Macaca fascicularis: one gene and its partner. The protein of the gene in region 2 interacts with the protein of the main gene of each other region in a pairwise test. Links are inferred from orthologs where the notes say so. Each region holds a gene or a part of one and is shown on either strand. Other genes may lie near its edges.

Evidence for each region. The genes of interacting proteins can lie anywhere in the genome.
Region 1: the proteins of LNX2 (region 2) and LRRC8E interact in a two-hybrid assay, tested with the Homo sapiens proteins (3 studies listed by BioGRID and IntAct). The link is inferred for Macaca fascicularis from reciprocal best matches to the Homo sapiens genes LNX2 and LRRC8E.

Annotation. Positions count from the first base shown.
Region 1 is NC_088393.1:8,600,097-8,604,582, forward strand, and holds the start of LRRC8E (volume-regulated anion channel subunit LRRC8E), read left to right. Parts: upstream 1-1,119; 5' UTR 1,120-1,215; intron 1,216-4,486. UniProt on the Homo sapiens protein: Non-essential component of the volume-regulated anion channel (VRAC, also named VSOAC channel), an anion channel required to maintain a constant cell volume in response to extracellular or intracellular osmotic changes.
Region 2 is NC_088391.1:7,597,513-7,602,011, reverse strand, and holds the start of LNX2 (ligand of Numb protein X 2), read left to right. Parts: upstream 1-1,412; 5' UTR 1,413-1,598; intron 1,599-4,499.

The DNA of each region.
Region 1 (4,486 bases), on a different chromosome or scaffold from region 2:
GCCTCATGGCCAGAGCGTCCCCTCCCCTGTCCTCTCCTCCCCCAACTCCACTCCCAGCACCTGAAAACTCCAGTCACCTGTGCCTTGGCTGGGCTTTAAGGCCAGGTGACTGGGCCTTGAGGGGTTAGAGGAAGCCCTTCCACACTTTTTTGTGTTTTTGGGTTTTTGGAGACAGGGTCCTGCTTGGTGGCCCAGGCTGGAGTGCAGTGGCATGATCATAGCTCGCTGCAGCCTCTCAACTTCCCAGGTTCAGGTGATCCTCCCACCTCAGCCTCCAGAGTAGCTGGGACTACAGGCACACTTCACCACACCTGGCTGATTTTTAAATTTTTGTTTTTGTAGGTTTTAAAACTTTTTGTAGAGATGTGGTACCACTATATTACTCAGGCTGGTTTCAAACTCCTGGGCCCAAGGTATCCTCCTGCCTTGGCCTCCCAACGTGTTGGGATTACAGGTGTGAGTCACAGAGCCCAGCCTCCACATTTTCTTTTCTTTTCTTTTCTTTTTTTGAGATGGAGTCTCACTCTGTTGCCCAGGCTGGAGTACAGTGGTGTGATCTCGGCTCACTGCAAGCTCTGCCTCGCGGGTTCACGCCATTCTCCTGCCTCAGCCTCCCCAGTAGCTGTGACTACAGGCACCCACCACCATGCCCGGCTAATTTTTTGTATTTTTAGTAGAGACGGGATTTCACCATGTTAGCCAGGATGGTCTCGATCTCCTGACCTCGTGATCCGCCTGCCTCGGCCTCCCAAAGTGCTGGGATGACAGGCGTGAGCCACTGTGCCTGGCTTCAGCCTCCACATTTTCTCGACAGGGTCTTTAAGACCTGGTTCCCAGAAGGGTGGCCCTTTGGGAGTTCAGGGTCTCCAGCTCTCTCAGTTTCCCCAGCTACCGGGGTCCAGCCAGACTGCAAAGCTGCAAAGTCCTAAGACCCCTACATCTCCCGCCAGCCCCAAGCCCAGCAGTACAAAGCACCATAGGACCACTCTCTTCCTCGCAACCCCGCTAATTGCGAGGCGCCAGGAGTAGGGTCGACCTGGGCGCGCCTGCGACGAGGCGGGGCCGAGTCGTCCGGGGGCGGGGCGGGGCGGCTCCGGGTCTCCTGTCCCCGCCTGCCCTGACTCACCCTCGCGGCCCGCCCGGGAACTCTGCGGGAGTCGCGGCAGCTCCGCTCCCAGAGACCCAGGAGTTGGGCCCAGCGTCCCTCCCGGAACGGTGAGTAGGTGGCTCTTCGCCTCTGGGTACCCCACGAGGTGGCGGGGTGGGAGTCGGACCGGGAGTCCCCGGGTCTGGACAAGGGGCAGAGTCGCTCCAGGTGCGCTGGCCCTGTGGCCAGGGCAGGCCGTCCCGACACACCAGGAGTTGGGGTGGGGGTGCGGGCTGGGGCAAAGGGAAACCTGGCCCACGAGGTCCCTGTCCTGGGAGCCAGGCAGACCCGGCCAAGTCTCAGCGTGAAGATAAACAGGCTGAAGATAAACTTGATTTTGGGGATCTCAACCACTTCCCCCTCCGTTTGGCATCTGGGAAGACACTGACAACTCATCCCGGGGAGACCCTCAGAGTCCCAGAACCTACCACTTGGGGTGGGTTCAACCAAGCCTGACCTCTGGTGCTCTTGAACTTACAGATGTCCCAGATTTTCAAGTCCGTTAGCAGAGGCAGCTTGCAAAACTACCCCCCTGGGAATCCACGGGCCTGGAGCCTGACCCAGGACGGGCTACAAAGATGCCACCCTCCCCCACCCTAGACCCTCAGTTTCTCCCTCGTATAAAAGGTTGAAGCTCGGCCGGACACCGTGGCTTACGTCTATAATCCCAGCACTTTGGGAGGCCGAGGCAGCCAGGTCACCTGAGGTCAGGTATTCAAGACCAGCCTGGCTAACACCGTGAAACCCCATCTCTACTAAAAATACAAAAATGAGCTGGGCATGGTGGTGCATACCTGTAGTCCCAGCTATTCGGGAGGCTGAGGCATTAGTATTGCTCGGACCCAAGAGGTGGAGGTTGCAGTGCGTTGAGATTGGGCCACTGCACTCCAGCCTGGTCGACAGAGCGAGACTCCATCTCAAAAAAAAAAAAGGTTGAGGCCAGGCACAGTGGCTCACGCCTATAATCCCAGCACTTTAGGAGGCTGAGGTGGGAGGATGCTTGGACTCAGGAGTTCAAGACCAGCTTGGGCAACATAGCGAGACCCCTATCTCTACAAAAATTACAAAAGTTGGCTGGGCATGGTAGCATGCACCTGTAGTCCCAGCTACTGGGGAGGCTGAGGCAGGAGGATCACTTAAGCCCAGGAGTTCGAGGCTGCAATGAGCTATGATCGCGCCATTGAACTCCAGCCTGGGTAACAGAGCAAGACCATATCTCTCTCTATTTTTTTTTTTTTTTTTTTTTTTGAGATAGAGTCTTGCTCTGTCACCAGGCTGGAGTGCAGTGGTGCGATCTTGGCTCATGGCAACCTCCGCCTCCAAGGTTCAAGCTATTCTCCTGCCTTAGCCTCCTGAGTAGCTGGGACTACAAGCACGCGGCACCATGCCCAGCTAATCTTTGTATTTTTAGAGATAGGGTTTCATCATGTTGGCCGGGATGGTCTTGATCTCTTGACCTCGTGATCTACCTGCCTCAGTCTCTCAAAGTGCTGGGATTACAGGTGTGATCCACTGCATCTGTCAGGACCCTATGTCTTAAAAAAAAAAAAAAAAAGTTGGGCCTTGTGTTCTACAAAACCCCTCTTAGGGCTGAAAACTGCTGGATGTTTCTTCCTTGTTCCCTGCCTCTTAGCATGGGCTGTGCGTGTGGAGGGTCTCACTCTTCCACCCTTCCCCCAGCAGGAACTCACCAACACATATTTTGGAAGCAAGTGGCTTGAGGAGGACCTGGGAGGGAGGAGGGGTGAGGCATGGGTGGAAGGAACCAGGGCTGGTGGGAGCCACATGGTCTTAGGCTGGAAGGTCTTCCAGCCTGGCCTGCTGCAATGCAACACCGCTCTTATGTGCTTTTGGCAAAGATGCTGTTTTGTTGTTGTTGTTTGATTTTTGAGATAGTTTTGCTCTGTTGCCCAGGCTGGAGTGCAGTGGCGCAATCACGGCTCACTGCAACTTCCACCTCCTGGGTTCAAGAGATTCTCCCGCTTCAGCCGGGCGCGGTGGCTCAAGCCTGTAATCCTAGCTCTTTGGGAGGCAGAGGTGGGTGGATCACGAGGTCAGGAGATCGAGACCATCCTGGCTAACACGATGAAACCCCACCTCTACTAAAAATACAAAAAATTAGCCGGGTGAAGTGGCGGGCACCTGTAGTCCCAGCTACTCTGGAGGCTGAGGCAGGAGAATGGCGTGAACCCGGGAGGCGGAGCTTGCAGTGAGCAGAGATCGTGCCACTGTACTCCAGCCTGGGCAACAGAGAGAGATTCCATTTCAGAAAAAAAAAAAAAAAGAGATTCCCCATTAGCTGGGAGTATAGGCGCCCACTGCCGCGCCCGGCTAATTTATTATTTTTAGTAGACACGGGGTTTTATCATGCTGGCTAGCCTGGTCTCTAACTCCTGACCTCAAATGATCTGCCCGCCTTGGCCTCCCGAAGCATTGGGATTACAGGCATGAGCCACCATGCCCAGCAAGATGCTGCATTTTAATTAAGAGGCTGTCTCCCAAGAGGGAACAGAGCGGTTGCAATCCTACAGGCAGGACCTGGAGGCTGGATGGGTCAGGCTTCGAATGCCACTTGAACTGTAGAAGCTTGAACAAGTTATTTCTCTCCCTTGAGTCTGGAAAACAAAGTCCCCGACATCGACACTGCCTGACTTGGGAGAAAAGGAGGCGTTCAGTGTCTGGTGGAGGAAGCTGAGCGTATATACGTCCCATCGTTGTGTTTTCCCTGGCTCTGCCCCAATTCTTCGAGCCCCTGTTCCCACCACCCCTTCCCCCCACCCCTGCTCAGACAAAGTGGGGGCCTGTCTTGTGTCTGTGGAAATTTAATGGCAGGTTTGTGAGGATCAAGTTTGAGTCATGGAGACAGATAATGATAGCCCCTGTGGCTGCCCCCCGGTCCCCTGAGAGTTTCTGCCTTCTTGTCTATGATTGTGCACCTGGGATGGCTATTGGTGGAGCTCACACCAGGGTGGCAAGGACAGGAAGTTGGTCCCGGCTCGTGTTTGTGTGCGTTTTGTGTGATTTCTTCTGCAGTCCCCAGAGTCAGTAGTTTTGTTTTGTTTTGTTTTGTTTTTTTGAGATGGAGTCTCAATTTGTCACCCAGGCTGGAGTACAGTGGCGAGATCTTGGCTCACTGCAGCTTCTGTCTCCTGAGTTTAAGCGATTCTCCTGCCTCACTCTCTCACCTGTAACCTATCTGGGATTACAGGCATCCACCACCATGCCTGGCTAATTGTTTCGGTATTTTTAGGAGAGACAGGGTCATCATGTTGGCCAGGCTGGTCTCGAACTTCTGACCTCAAATTATCCGCCTACTTTGGCTTCCCAAAGTGCTGGGAT
Region 2 (4,499 bases):
GGGCGGTTTCCGGATCCTCAGGTGGTGCTGGCGGATCGGGGGTTCTGTCCCATAGCGCGAGGCGTGGAGACGAAGCAGGAAGGAAGGACAGACCGACGGAAGGCGCGGAGGACGGAAGGAGGGAGGAGGAGCCGCAGCGGCGCGGCAGGGCCCAGCCGCGGGGCGGGGCATCAGGCTCCGCCCCCAGGCCCCGCCCCGACGCGGGGTGGGCGGTGGCTCGCGGCCCGGCGGCTCACCTGGGCGACCAGGCGAGGCCACTCACGGCGGGAGGGGCAGGGGGTGGGGGCAGGGGGTGGGGCCAGCGCCGCTTTACCCCGAGGCCCAGACAGGCCTGCGGGCGCGCCAGCTCAACCTTGGTACCTTTCCCCAGGTGATGGTGAAGGAGCGGGGCTTTACCTGCCGCCCCCAAATCACTTCCCTTCCCAGTGGCAAGGGCGAAAGAGGCCCGACTCCCCCACTGGGGCGGTGTTGACCCAGGATGGCCCTTCCTGGGACCCCGGCCTCCTGGGCCTTCTGTGGGACGACAGGCTTAGGCTCTAGTCGGTCAACACACCTTGAAGAGGGAGGAGGTCACGTGCAAGATGAGTCACGACAGAATACGAGGGTTGAAGGCGGTATTTGTCTCACCGGGGACCTTGCAGTTGCATTCTCAACTGGGTCAAATAAAGGGCAAGAAAGAAATGTCTTTCTCTTTTGGGGGAGTGAGAGTTTGCGAAAAAACTGTTTCCCACCTCATCCTTTCCGTCCTAGGATTCCTTCTATCCCCCAGAGCGCGTCCTCTCCGGCTGTGGACTTCCTTTCCCTTTACCCGCTGTGGCTCTTCAAACCTCTTCACCTGCGGAACCCGCCCTCACCTTTGTTCCCAGGTGCCCAGCCCCCGCCTCGGCAACCTTCGCCACCCAGACTCGCTCTCCGCCCAGCTCCCACGTCCCGGCCCCGGCCGCGCTCCCTCAGGTGCGCTTCCTCTCGAATAGGCCCTTCTCCCCTAGCCGCCGGCCCCGACCCTGCCCCACTCCAGCTGTCCAGCTGTCCTGCGCAACTACGTTTCTGCTTCCCTGCGCCACCTGTTCTCCTAGCCTCCCCCCACCCCGCCCCGCGATTCCTCTGGATGTTCACTCCTTCCCGAGCAGTGCCACTCCTGGCAGCGGCCCGGGGTGCGCACAGGCACCTAGCCCCCGGGGCTTCCGCAGGGGAATCAGGCGGGCGGCGGGGACAGCCCGGGGCGGGTGGGGGAGGCGGGCGGCGAGGGCGGAGTGGTCTCACTCTAACCCAGGAGTGACGGGCCAATTCTGGCCCGCCTCCCGAGCTCTCGGATAGGTGGAGCCGCCCTCTGGTCCGCCCACCTCCCGCCCTGTGCTACCTCCGATTGGCCCGGCTGCGGGTTGGGCCGCTCGGCCTTAGCGCTGGCCCCCGGGAAGGCAGCAGGGGCGGTTGAGAAGTGAAGTCTTGGCCGGAGTTTGCTTCTTGCCAGGAAATCCGCGGTGGCGGCGGCGGCAATTCTCGGCGGAGCGGAGCCGGGCAGGCTCTCCGCTCCCTCAGCGGGCCGCGGAGAGCGGGAGCTGGTGGCCGTGCGCGGCCCGGGCAGCCGCGCTTTCCCAGTGAGTAACTTTGCCCTGCCCGCCTCGCTGCGCGCCCTCTCCCCGGCTGCGGGCAGCCGCCTCAGGTGCGGGCGTCGGCTGGGTGTGGAGGAGCGCCGCGCCCCGGGAGGCGGCCGGAGCGGCGCCGCTGCTCGCCCCGGAGCTTTGGTCGTCCGCGGCTGTCTTTGCTCGCCCGGGCTGCGGGGCTGGCGTGGACTCCGGTGTGGGGCTGGTCGGGGAGGGAGAGTCGGCGCCCGGTGCCCGCCGCCTGTAGGAGCCCTGGAGGCGGGCGGCCTCCGGCTGTTAGCATTTGCTGGTTCCGGCCACCGCGGTGCAGATCTTGGCGTCGTTTGCTTCTTAAGGGAAGGGAGAGGTGGGGTGAGTGTTTAAATTTCCTGTGTGTGTGTGTGTGGTGTCGGCAATGCGAGTGGCACTAGCTGCCTTTGTCGGATTTTGTTCCTCTGCAAAGGGATAGGGAGAGATCGTTCCCTCCGCCCTAGCCTGTTGCCTGTGAATTCTCACCTTTCTCTTTAGGCTGGAGAGGGTGGGAGATAGATTTGACATATTCCAGTGGGTAATTTAAAAATGCGAATCTTGATTTGGAACCAGTTGCACACAAAGCATCGTTCAGGAAATACATCACTCGCTTTTCAAAGCTTTATGCCACGTTTTAAACAAGGACTTTTGACTCATGTAGTGTTTCTTCTAGTATTTCAGTTTACGTTGAGTTTATGAATCCAGACGTTCGTTTGTGCCAGGAGCTAAAGTACACTTATGCATGGACTTTGCTGTATTTATTATCCTTTTTAAAATCACAGAAATCAGAAACAAAGTTGAGTGAAGAGCGGTGGCGGTGCAGGAGGAGGAACACTTGTGAGCTCCAGCTTATTGGAACTGCCTTTAAGAATTTCACATTCTTGCGGCAATAGTACTTACTTGTAAATTGGCCTTCTTCCCAGGACAGATTTTGATATTTCTTTTGCATGTACTTCGATGCAGCACTGATGAAGTTGGATCTCAGTAGATCAATTTTATTTACTTTGCTAGATTTGATTCCCACCCCCACACCTCTTTAGAAAATGGACTTTGGCAGGTAAAGAAGGAAGCGGGAATCTGGTATCCTTTTTGGCTTGTCAAAGCTTTGTTGAGCCATGAATAACAAAGTTTTGGCTTTTTAAGCTTGTCCAAGTCCCACATGTGAGTTTTCCCATGGGGTAAAAGTAGGCCAAATGAGAACCAAAGTAGAATAACATTACTTTTAATTCGGCCCACTTGTGTGTTACATTCTCCATATATCTTGTTTCTCTCGTCTTCTCATCAGCTTTGACATTTTTTCATTATTTATTCATTTAGCCACTGATAAAGTACCTACTGCATGCCAGCCATTGATGGCAGGGGTTAGTTCTTGCCCAGAAGTTTTCTCATTTGGAAATTGATCCATGCTTTTATCCCGCTAGTTACCGTGAAGTAATTTGAACTTAGGGAGCATTTCTGCCTGGAGACCTGTAAGAATAGGTGTTACGTAGGCACCTAGCCTTCAGATTGATTTGGGATATCGTACATTGTAGGCACGGAGCACGCAGGCCACTTAAAAATAAATGCATGTATCTTTGGGCTGTTGTATTATGAGCTTTGCATATGGGCTTGTCTGGCCGAAGGACCCAGTGTCCAAGGTGGAAGTAGTAGTCAGGGACATGTATGGTATTCATTTCAGAGCACTTGGCACCTTTTCTTGCTTACATTGGTCACTAAAATATTTACTGAATTGACTTGAACAGAAAAATGAAGGATTTTGTATACCAGATTAAGAAATTTGGACTTTATCCAGTCAGTGATACTGAGCTGCTAATTTTAAGCAGGAGAATGTCATGATAACATTCGCGTTCCAGAAAGATATCTGCAGCATCTGGAGGATGGTGGGCTTCCAGATGGGCGGTATTGAGACTAAGTTGGAGGCTGTTATAATGGAGGGGTTAAGTGCTCAGGGATTCTCTATTCAGATTACCTGGGGTGGAATCAAGCTCTGTCATACACTGAAACCTCTTTGTTCCTTAGGTTTTTCATCTCAGAGTTTGGGGGATAGAACTTGAAAAAACATGTATATTACTTAGAATAGTGATTGCCACATAGTAAGGACTTAGTAAATGCTAGTGTGCTGGCAGTGGAAGGAGAAACGACATGGCATTTAACGCGTATGACTAGGAGGCTGGACCAGGTAAGTGACTAGATAGGCTTAAGGGAGGGGAAGGATGAATCCTGGGTTGTTTGATTTCAGGCATTGATTGACATGTACTGGGTAAGCTGGCTGTGGAATTAAAACGGGTCAAATTCTAATTCTATTACTTACCCTTAGAATTACTATCCTGACAGAACTTTGATTTCCTAATATTTGGGAAATGATTGTCATACCTGTTCAATAGGGTTTGAGAAATTACACATGTAATGCCTTTGGCAGGGTACCTAGCACATTCCAAGTGCATAGATGATGACGTTAATGAGCTAGTGGAATGTTGGAGGATATGAGAAGAAGCAGTTAAAAACAATTGATGGTAGAGGTGTGGAAGGGGAGATAAGTTCAGTTTTGGACCAATCTAAGGAGGTGCTAAATGGATGGTTGAGAGATCCATGATGCAGTTGTTGGATAGTTGTGTCTCACAGGAGCTAGAAAAGAATAGAAAAGAAAAAAAAAGAGTTCACAGAAAGCCTTTATGGGTGTGGTAAGCTTTATAGGCGATTTAGAGGAAGGGGAGGGTGAAGGGGTTCACAGTGGAGCAATGTCAGAAGTGTTGACATTGAATATTAGGCATTTCTGTCCTTAAAATACATTTTGGCCACCATCAAAGAAAGAAGGACTCCAGGCTCTTGTAATCTGGTTGGCTCTTCGGCCTTCTCCCCCTCTTCTTTCTTTCCTTTCTGACTGCC